Arabidopsis thaliana: one gene and its partner. The protein of the gene in region 2 interacts with the protein of the main gene of each other region in a pairwise test. Each region holds a gene or a part of one and is shown on either strand. Other genes may lie near its edges. The genes, in order: AT3G56320 and AT4G28150.

The links.
Region 1: the proteins of AT4G28150 (region 2) and AT3G56320 interact in a two-hybrid assay, tested with the Arabidopsis thaliana proteins (one large-scale study listed by BioGRID).

What each region holds. Positions count from the first base shown.
Region 1 is NC_003074.8:20,885,394-20,892,085, forward strand, and holds AT3G56320 (PAP/OAS1 substrate-binding domain superfamily), read right to left. Parts: upstream 4,411-6,692; 5' UTR 4,103-4,410; intron 3,910-4,102; exon of another isoform or gene 3,826-3,909; 5' UTR 3,757-3,825; exon of another isoform or gene 3,561-3,756; intron 3,315-3,560; 5' UTR 3,232-3,314; coding exon 2,986-3,231; intron 2,902-2,985; coding exon 2,722-2,901; intron 2,633-2,721; coding exon 2,540-2,632; intron 2,435-2,539; coding exon 2,252-2,434; intron 2,174-2,251; coding exon 2,071-2,173; intron 1,972-2,070; coding exon 1,789-1,971; intron 1,714-1,788; coding exon 1,232-1,713; intron 1,142-1,231; coding exon 800-1,141; 3' UTR 501-799; downstream 1-500. Other genes in the region: AT3G56310 (Melibiase family protein), read left to right, coding at 1-6, 101-352; AT3G56330 (N2,N2-dimethylguanosine tRNA methyltransferase), read left to right, coding at 4,857-5,488, 5,597-5,797, 5,891-6,191, 6,280-6,342, 6,436-6,540.
Region 2 is NC_003075.7:13,976,650-13,981,272, forward strand, and holds AT4G28150 (hypothetical protein (DUF789)), read right to left. Parts: upstream 2,839-4,623; 5' UTR 2,264-2,838; coding exon 2,180-2,263; intron 2,109-2,179; coding exon 1,888-2,108; intron 1,804-1,887; coding exon 1,623-1,803; intron 1,539-1,622; coding exon 1,453-1,538; coding exon of another isoform or gene 1,410-1,452; exon of another isoform or gene 1,366-1,409; coding exon 1,274-1,365; intron 1,187-1,273; coding exon 993-1,186; 3' UTR 654-992; downstream 1-653. Other genes in the region: AT4G28160 (hydroxyproline-rich glycoprotein family protein), read left to right, coding at 3,741-4,076.

The DNA of each region.
Region 1 (6,692 bases), on a different chromosome or scaffold from region 2:
CAGCAGGTATGAATTGGGAGTCACAGAATTATCAAACTCATAGAGAAAGCAGAAAAAACAAACTCAAGGACTCAAATTGGTGATAACTGTTTCATTGCAGGTGTGGTCAGGACCTTTATCTGGTGACCGTATGGTAGTTGCTCTCTGGAACCGTTGCTCTGAGCCAGCAACTATTACAGCATCATGGGATATGATCGGTCTTGAATCTACCATTAGCGTTTCAGTAAGAGATTTGTGGCAGCACAAAGATGTAACAGAGAATACTTCTGGCTCCTTTGAAGCTCAAGTTGACGCACACGACTGTCATATGTACGTTCTCACTCCCCAGACAGTATCACACTCTGATGTATAGTTCTTTATTGTGAGGCATTCAAATCCCAAAGAACAGAGATTGCCTTTGTGTTTCTGTATACTCGTGTATCTTGTAAAACGTGAAACCTGTTGTTACCCGGACAACTTTAAATGTTTGTCACTCTCTAAACAAATTGCCAGAAGTGACAAGAAGTAAAACTGAATCTCATATAAAAATTTAGATAAAAAGTCTGAAGGATCTTGATTCCAAAGAAAAGACAAATGCCAAATCAACTCTTAATCTATACCACTTTTGTATATTCTGACCTACCAACAATGAAGAAGAGATCTCTAATGAAACATTGGTCAAAACAAGTTCCTGATGGATCTTTTGAATCCTATATAGAGTTTTGAATACTAAATAGAGTTTGTCCATGTGGTTAAGAGAACCTAGTAATCCTGAAGGTGTCAAGATAACAACCAAAGCTTCGGTCACAGTCACTAAAAGTCAAGAGCCGTTCATGGTTTGGGAGGATCTGATACTCTCTTCTTTGCCATTTTCCAATACCAATGTGCTTGAAGTTCTAGGTTCTACTAGGTTTTCTGGTGGTGGAAATTGGCAATTGTCATCAAGCTCCAAATTCGCAGATCTTTGAGATTTCAGCACACTCTCTGGTCTCACACATTCTTCTCCTTTGTTACTGGTACAAGAAGTAGACACTTCACCGGAAAGATTGCAGCAACTACTGGCTCCATCATTGTCTATTGCCTCAGAGGAAGCTTCTAAATGATTCGTTGATGAGGTTCCAGTACCTGATTCTCTGAACCTGTCAGAGTATACCTGTTGACTCTGCAACAACCATTGAGAAGCAATTCAGAAGCTTGCAGCAATAAGTTAATTTTTAAGCCAAAATGTCCGTCAAAGGGGTTAATCGCATACCATGTCAGGAATATAAGTGCCGGTTCCTCTCGTCTTTCTCATGTTTTGACAGCCATTAGGTAAAGAATGCAAAGGAAAAGGCTGCATAGAGGTTGATACATTGAGACTTCTAAGATGGAACTCGTTCTTTCGGTAAGTCACAAGGTGACGAACAATATCCCAACCACTCAGGTGAGAACTAACCGGGATATAGCCATGCTGAAATGTTCCAGGTAAGCTATGCCCATGATACATTTGCCCATACACAAGTCTTCCAAAGGAACTATCGAAATCTCCACTAAGTTCAGATAATTCTGATCTTCCAGTACCGAAAGCAGTAACGGGATCATTCACATCTTGCCTTTGTCCCTTACCATTTCTCTCCAAAGAGTTACGAAAGAACTTCTCCAATCTCCATCCCATGGTGTCACCAGGTAGTGAAAGAACATCTCTTAGCTTTCGAGCTCCAAGTGTAAAAGCATGTCTTATTCGTTGGACATTTCCTAACAAAATGTTTTTAAAATAATTAATATTTGACAACTGCTATATTGGTTGTATAACTTTTATCAATAGAGTACCTTGTGTAACACTTTTGCCGAGGTTGTTGCTGTATTTTAGAGGATCAACTATGTTGAGATGTTTGATAGGAAACTCAAGACCATTTGAGTCAACAGCTTTAGTTGGAGCAGAATATAACTCTACACAGTTTCTTAAAAACTTCTCGTCAAGTAATAACTCATGCCCATTTTCTGGAGATGCTGCTGGAAAGATAGAAAGAGAAAGAACCAAATTAAAACGTCAAATAGCGCCAAGAAAATGCCACGAAGAGAAGTATCTGTGATTTTTGGCATCATCCTTACCTGTAAGTTCTGGAAGGGACGATATTGGCACAGGACCATTGACACTGATACAGTAGTTGTTCCAATCAAATGAACCATAGTAATCCAAGAACTTATACAGAACCTGTTGAAAGACAATGCTATATTCTCATCTTTTGCATATATGTAGAGGATGCTGAAGGTTCAGAAAAAGAGTGATTACCGCTAAAGGGCCAGATAAAGATGAATGAAACAGGTTGATGATGTACAAAACTAGTACTGCCAATGCATATGTTGAGATCAATCCAGTGTTAGCACCAAGAATTCGACTCTCGTAATAGCACCAAGCTTTGACAAGGATGATGCTACGCTTGAAAAGATGATCTCTCCCAAAGAGTTGGTCAACCTGAGAATACATAAAACCAGAGTTTAACCAACAACTAAGAATCAAAGCTAGGCAATAATCTGTTTAGTAAACCTCTGGAGCCTGATTTTGAATAGCTGATAGTACCTGCTCCAGAAAACATAAAGCACAGAGACCTGCCGTTTGATTAAAAGAGATATCAACAGCAATGTTCCTGATATTGCATTTTATGACCTTGACCTATCATATATCAGCAAACTTTCTTAAGGAAAATTTGGGCAACCAAGAAAATACAAAAACGAAACCAAAAAGTAAATAAACAAAGAGACCTGTGCAGGGATAAACTGAACATCTGTTGCATGGAATTCAGATTCTCTTTCTTCATTCTGAAGCCTACTGCACAATTGTCCATAAAAATCGTCATCCATATTTTGCTTAGTTAGGACAGTCAGATCGATATCCCCGTCCGGGAGATAGGTTTTTAGTGGCACTGAACCAAATGAAAAGACCTGTAGATAAACAAGTTCCCATAGAAAGTTAACAAAACAGCATAAATCTTTAACATGTCAGCAAAGAGAAGCGGAGTTTCTAACCTCAATTCCCTCATGACTCATGATAAGAGTTCGTACATAATCAATGATCTCATTCCTACTTCTGTCTGAAACAAGGGCAGGTTGGATAGTGCAAAGTATCTCATGAGCTCTCTCCTCTGCAATCATCCAAGAATCTGCATCTATCGGCAATGAATCTCCTTTAGGTAGTGCCGTTGATAGTGACAATGAGGATGATGAAGAAGACGAAGATGATGAAACTGACAATCTTTCTTGAATTTCACCCATGTGCGCATAACTTCAAACTAACATCAGAGTGATAACACAGGAATCCTCAACAACTCAATGAGCCCCTTATATAATTATGATATCTACAAACAACAGAACAAACAGAATTACAAAATATTTCAAATTGGCCTTTTTGTCATCACATTAGACAGAGAAAAAGAAAAAAATGAAGTCAAGGTAAAAGTTGATTGTCTAATAACTAGAGCTCCCAAATTTGATTAAGAACAATCGAGGCTAATCCAGAGAGTGAGTGAGATTACATCCTAAGCAAGAGACATAAAAAAATGAAACAGAGCATGCCAATAGTGAATTCAGTGTTAGGTAGGTACCCTAATGTTTAGCTTCTCAGAGCAAAATCGAATATTTATAAAGGAAAACAAAACAAAACAGCTAAACTATCCTGCGTGAGTGATGATTATACCTTAGGAAAAAATGACTATTAGCTCAGAAGTCTCAGCTCTGTCTCTTCCAAAATCATTTTTTTTTGTTGACAAAATTGAGAGGTTTAAGTAGTGAAAGGCGTACCTGCGGTTTTAGACCAGTTGTCCAGAGATTCTTTGGGCTAATCTTTGAATATTCAAGAAGCTTTAATTCCTGCTAACAAACAAACAAAAAAAATCAAAACTTGGAACAGGGTTTAAGATTTGTAACGAATCGACATTTTCACACGAAAAAAAATATGACATTTTGGTTTTCATCTTTAAGCTTCACAAGGACCACGAAGATGGATTAAGACAAAAGAGAAAACCCCAAAAATCAAAAAACGAGATTCACACGAAACATCATTTTGCTTTCTCCGATAACGAGGATTAAGAGGCAAATTAAGCTTGTATTCATTGGATTCCTAAAGATTAAGCAAAGATTATCTCACCTCGAAACAAAATTTCCAGCTTTAGTTTTTTTTGGATCTTATGGATAATAAACGTTACACCAAAAACTTTTTTGAAACACAAAGGGGAAAAGAAATAAAAACCCAGATAAAAACAGATATGAGTCAGTAAAATGAAACGGAAGGGATTGTTTACGAATACCGATTTGTATTCATTGATCAGGAGAAGAGAAACCGATACTATAAACTTTTTTTTAATTGAGGGGAGAAAGAGAATTATCACCAAGACAAAAAATTAAGGGATAATATAAGCAAAAATAAAATAAAAAATTATGGAAGGTTCATAATAGTGGAGACTCTAAAACAATCTGCCATTTTTGTATCAATGAGAAAAAAATTAACTTCACCTGCTCCTCTCAAATAATTTTCAACCCAAGAAAAAAAATAGATTTTCTTCATTCTTGTTGGAGACTCTTAGTCTCTATGATCTTCATGGTCAATGTTTTTGAATGATTCAACAAAAACCCTAATTTCTCCAAATTCCAAAACCCAGAATTCCAGAAACAGTAGAAACTCAATTCCATGAAAGGGAAAAAAGTGTATCGTATCTTTAGGTGGACTCGAGTATAGACGATTACACAAGTGGGACCCAACTAATCATAAGATTGACGACGTGGCCTACTAATACGAGGTTTTTATCTCTTCCGTACACGTGGCATAATATCGGACGGACTAATTTAGATAGACGATTAAAAAAAAAAATCAAGCAAAACAATCAGATTTTTTTTTTCCCGCTATGTTGTTGACTCTCTCTCCTAAAACCCTATCTTCTTCTTCCTTCTTCACTGTGCACAAATCGCAAAACCCTAAATGTAAATCTCCAGATTCATGTCGATTCAAGAGCTTGAAATGTAGTTTTGATCGAATTTTAGTGAAATCCGAGGTTCAAATTGAGAGGAATCTCGAATTTGAAACGGGAGAGACATTTTTCCGCCATGAAAGCGCTAGAGGACGAGACCTCGGTGTTTTGTCAGCGACGCTATACAAGAGATCTAATGGAAGCTTACGGGTACTCGACGCAATGTGCGGATGTGGAATTAGGTCGCTTCGTTATCTTGTGGAAGCTGAAGCTGATTTCGTGATGGCGAACGACGCAAATGATGATAATCGGAGAGTGATTACGGATAATTTGAGTAAAGTAGAGAGAGGTACTGGAGATGAGAGGAGATGGGTTGTGACTCATATGTTGGCTAATAAAGCGATGATTGAGAGATATATGGTTGCGGATTTCTTCGATATGATTGATATTGATTCGTTTGGAAGTGATTCTTCGTTTTTGAGAGATGCGTTTAATGCATTGAGATTGGGTGGTTTGCTTTACTTGACGTCGACTGATGGTTACTCTTCTGGTGGTCACAGACCTTATAAGTGAGTGAAAGCAATACCATTAGTCTTTGTGGTATTTTAGGAATCATGATATGATTTAGGGACTAGGAGATTGAAAGTTGAAAAATTTCTTGGTTTGTTTTGGTGTAGTTCTTTAGCAGCTTATGGAGCATTTATTCGACCAATGCCGTTTGGGAATGAGATTGGGCTGCGGATGCTTATAGGTGGAGCAGTGAGAGAAGCTGCTCTGCTTGGTTATCATGTTACGCCTCTTTTCTCGTACTATTCTTATCACGGACCTGTGTTTAGAGTCATGCTGAGGGTTCACCGTGGGAAGCTACATGAGGACAGGTTGTTTCTACATTTAGAATTTGACTCGAAAGGAATTGAGTTTTGGTTATGTTGCGTTTCTAATTGGAGTTGTTTTGTGTCTTTTAACTGTAGGAACTATGGTTTTGTCACGCACTGTAATCTATGTGGCCATTCTCATACATTGAGATTCGATGAACTTGGTTTGATGGGATGTCCCTGCAGTGATACAAAGGCTTCTTCTTCACTGGTTGTGTCAGGACCAATGTGGCTCGGACCGCTTCATGATGCATCCTATGTTACGGAAATGCTGGAATTGGCAAAGGAATGGGGATGGGTCAGTGAAGGCACTGGCATGGATCTGGACAAGCTTCTCAGTATAATGATTGAAGAAAGTGATCCCAGACTACCACCTGGATACACAAAAATGGATGAGGTCCTCTAAAACCATGATTTTAATTTCATTGATAAGATAGACGCATTTCATTCACATTACATGATAAAAGATTTGTTTTCGTGATTAGATGGCGAGCCGTGCGAAGATGAACTCACCTCCGTTGAAGAAGATGATGAGTGCACTAGTTAAGGTAAATAGTAGTTAGATTCTCACAGCTTTGATCTCTGAAGAAACTGATCTGAAGGTACAAAGTTAAAAAGCTCTGCTCCTTGGATTTTTGCAGGAGGGTTACGCTGCTAGCAGATCTCACATTATTCCCAATGCTCTTAAAACAGATTGTCCCATGTCCCATTTTGTTAGGATTGCCAAGGAAAATTTGCATAGTTAACTTTTTGTTATAATCAAGTTTAGAGATTTTTTTAAGCCTCTGATTATACTTTACAAAGCAATCATACCCAACACTCGACTATATTATTTGTTGCTTTATGCTAAGTAGGGAGATACAAGTACTTAGCATCGCTTAAGAACGAGCGAAGCTTC
Region 2 (4,623 bases):
TTTTTGGTAACTAAATCTCAACATATTATCTCACGTGCATATCGACTATGCGTGATGTTATTCTTCATATCTTCTATTTATTGTGAGGAATAAACATAGTCTATAAAGATTTCAGGTGGAAAATCCAAACTAATTGTTGGAATTTACAGTTTTATTTATTTATCAACTTACAGTTTTTATGTAACTTTTTCTAGTGGCAAAAAAGAAGATGGGTGCAGAAGAAAATCTACTAAAATCTCTATAAGAGTATTATTCTTAAGAAAATTCGTGAATATTAAGGCACACATTTATTCTTTTTATTTTATGAGTTAATATTGTTGTGTATAATACTATAATGTGATAATGTTTAGAAACAGTATAGTTTTTTTGGTGTAATTTTAGTTAGGGGTGAGCATAAAAAAGACGAACCAACTTTATTTTGGGCCAATGATCCAATTTATCAAATTTGGACAAAAGTCGAAAGAAGCCTAAAACATGATCCAATTTTAAGAGGTATCTTCAGAAACAATCTAAAACACCATAAATAATTCCTAGTAAGTACATAATATCAGAATATTATATTAGAGGCTAAGAAACTAAATTTGAGATAATTGTAACATAAATATATCTAAATATCATGTAGAAAGTTCTAGAGATTTTTGTGATAATCTTTTATGTAAATCAATATATATCTCTGTATATATCTTCTTCTTTTTTGTTATGAAATTTAGAAAATTGTTAAAAAGAGAAGGATACCAAAATCAAGAGAACGTGCGTTTGTACAAACAGAAAGCCACAAAACATTAGAAAAGAATAAATGTATTGAGCCCATCATCATCAATCTGACCCCAAACTAAATTTATGATATAAAAGTCTTGTGAAGAAAAAGTCAGTACCTATCCTTCCCAAAGAGTCCCAAGTAACAACAATCCAACATTATTGATATGTGCTACTCTTAAACAACAAAGCTAAATAGACTGTTAACCAAGTAATGATCTAAAACACTACATATATCAAAGATAATGAGTAGTAGTGGTGAAGTAGGTGAAGTCATGGTGGTGGACCCTTAGCTGCTTTAGCCAAGAATCTGCTACGCTCAAAAAGCAAAGCAATCTATCATTATCCCATAGCCTCCCTTGCATCTTGTAAGTGGCCATCCCAAATGCACTCACACTTATCCTCTCCTTCTCCTCTTCCCTTTTTACATCTGTTCCAATGCCAAGGGACTTTAGAAATGGGGAATGAATGTACTAATACATTAATACACACTTCCAAGAGGAAAGTGAAAATGCACCTTGGAAAGATGAAGAAAGCGTGTGGTAAGTGAGGAAGCAAGTAGACAAGTCTTTTATGCTTCTATTCATGGGAATGTGATAGATTGGATACCTACACATACAATCAAACATCGTCACCATTTTACTACATTAACCTTAACTTTGTTTTCTGAAACAAGAAAAAGAAGAAAAGGCAGACCAAGCAACAGCCATCCAACTCGCAGGAGACAGATCAACACTCCTCAATGACCTCAACCCTACGTATCTTTCTCCCAACTCTTTGATCTGAAAGTAGACAGAGACTTATGGAATCATAAAACAATGAAAGAAAGTGCTTCTGGAATCAAACTCCAAGAATGGGGAACAAACCTTATCCATGAGAGGGACTCTAGAGTAAGGTGTACATCTCTCGAAATACTGCAAGTAAGAGTAACCGAGGCGATCGAGAGGTTCTTGATGATCAAACCCTTCTTCAGACGAAGAACATCCTTCCCATCTCCACTCCTCGCTACACGACTCGCTCCCTGAATCCCCTGATTCTGTCTCCTCCCTAAATCATCATTCATCGCAGCGACATGTTAGATTGTTGAATATATGCTTGTGTTTATGAAAATGGCAGCATAATGATCATTACCTAAGAGTATTGATAACAGAATGAGAGGTGAAAATCTGGATTGCAGAGAGGTAAGGAACATAGTATTGGACCAATGTTTCGCCCGTTTCCGATACAATGGGGACACCTGCACCGTAAGCACTCCACTCGTCGAAACAATCCCAAAAATCTCCCAACCTGAAATACTCGACGCTCTGGCTCTCCAACGGATACCATAGAGGATTAAGGTTCTTGATCTGTGTCTGCCAAAAAACACACAGTTTCAGATCCTAAATTCAGAGAATTGTTTTAAGAAAAAGAAAAAGGCGTAAACCTTTGGGAGGGAATAGGCAGGCACAATCGGTGTAGTGCAGCGTAAGAATCGGTCTAGGTTAGATTCACTGTCAAAAACCATCATTATCCAACAAAGAACCAAACTTCGACCCAGAAAAAAAAAAAAAAGAGAGAGGAGAGAGTATTGCGGGATTCTCTTTCCCTGACGTTTCAAAGAGCTTAGTTTTCGGACAAAAGTGTTAGCTTTATTAGACGAGCATTTGAGACTTTCACGGCAATGTCAGAAACAGGGAAAGATTGAACGAAAAGGGACAAACTTTTTAAAGAAAACTCCAACGGAACTCTGTTTTGAGCAATGAGAAAAAAAACAAGTAAAATTGTATCTACTTTGAGATAAAAGAAAGTAAGGAAATAGGTTTATATAATCAACCAAACTCCATGAGACCCATTCTTCTAAGGCAGGAGATTATTGGTAGATTCACCTGTCTTTCTCACAACTCTCCACCTTCTCCATTTATTTTCATTTTCATTTAATAAAATATAGTTTCGTTTCTCTAACTTTGTCGGATGAGATTGAGTTTTGTTTGTTTGGGTTTAGTATAAAACGTTATGGCTTCTTAATATCTTCATTTTGCATAGTTCGTGAACAACACAACAAAACAGAGCTATTATTCCTAAGTCTTAGATGATGACATCTCCCAATACAAAGTCTCCTTCTTTTGGATACATCTTGAAAGAAGAGAAACTAGGTCGATCACATATAACAAGATTTCAAGAGAAACTGGGTCAATGACTTTTTTGTTTACATATTATAATTCATATGGTTTAAAAGAATCATTAACATAAAAGGACATGTGTGACAGGATCAGTCGGCAATGTTGTAATCCAAGTTAAACTAAATATCTACTATAGAAGTTTGACACATTCAAATAGTACGACGACATGGGGATAATAAAAGTACGGAAACACTCTTTGACTTTTATGGATTTCTTACAAATTTCTATCAGACAACTGTAGAATATGCCGCTAGTCACGTAAATGTAATTATTAAAACATTATCAAAAGATTGATCGGAGAAGAAAACTCAAGAAATGGTCAAATATGTTTTACCAACTTCGTAAAGAATAAAGAGAAAGTAAAAGAAATCAAACTCTTTCAAAGTGGAAGCCGTCGTCTCTCGCTGACTTCTTCTTCATCGGTTTTTCTGTTACTTGTATGTGAAGCCAAATAAACCTGCAGAATTCACGGTTTGAATATGAGAAGAAAGTAGGATTTTAAATAATAAAAGAAAAGTGAGAGAGAAGACAAAGACCTCGTTGCACAAAAGCCCATCACAACCAAAATTACTAATTAGACATGTGTGGCAAATGTTATGACTGATCATCATGCAATAATTCACCGCCAATACCATAGATGCTACCAGACTTTGTAGGCTCTCTCTCTTTAGTAAATAAAGCACTTTGTTTATGTTCGTTTAATGTACCCATAATTAGCTTTAACTATTTCACTCTACTCTATATATTACACACACTATCTCTTCCATCTTCCCTCCACAAACCACACATTCAAGCTCTTACCTTTTATCCTCAACTAACACAACAATGGCTTATACTCTGCAAAATCTGACAGCCACAATTGTTCTGGTAAGCCTGATTCTTGGATGTACAGAGGAAGTAACCGGAATGCGTTACATTCCCATTTCCCCCACTCCCAGTGAGAGCAAACATTCAGACTTTCCTGTAAACATGGTGCCTCAACCATCTAGTCTCATTCCTGGTTTTGGAAGGTTCTTGCTACCTCCCACACCTAAGCTGCCATTCCTTCCTTACAAAGATCCCCTTGCTGTTGCCCCAGCCACTTCAAATGGAACTCCTAGTAATAAAGCCCGCAGTCCGAGTTCAGGAGAAGATGAAGTTCCACCAGTGCCACAACCATGACCTGTCAACAAATAAGCTTTTGCTAGATGCAGAAGGGTATTCAATTCTGGTTCACATAACAAGTATACTAGTCATTTCATCATAGTCATATATCTTCATGATCTCTCTCTATATATACTTAAGAGGATATTGAATAAATTCCAGAGCTTTTGCTTACATACTATCTAAAAATAATATTTCCAAATAAAATGTAATGACTCACATTGCTGCAAATGTATTGAGTCACAAAAGAGTAGAAATATGTAGAAACTCTTCAATTGAATCATTATTGCCATGATTGAGTCAAAAGAGAAACTCTCTTTACAAAGTCTGAAATTTTGTCAAGATATGTAAAATCTCAAAGTTTCAAAGTAATCTCAGCATTAGCATTTAGCATTAACAAAACCAACGACAACTACGATGTATTAACAAATCAAATTTGGAAACTTCTAAAACAATGCGATGATAATGGACAAAGAGATGTCTTGGAAAAGTCTATTGGAATTGAAGTTTCTGTCTATCCATAGCGAATTGGAAAAAACGATCACCATGACCAAAAACCAAATCG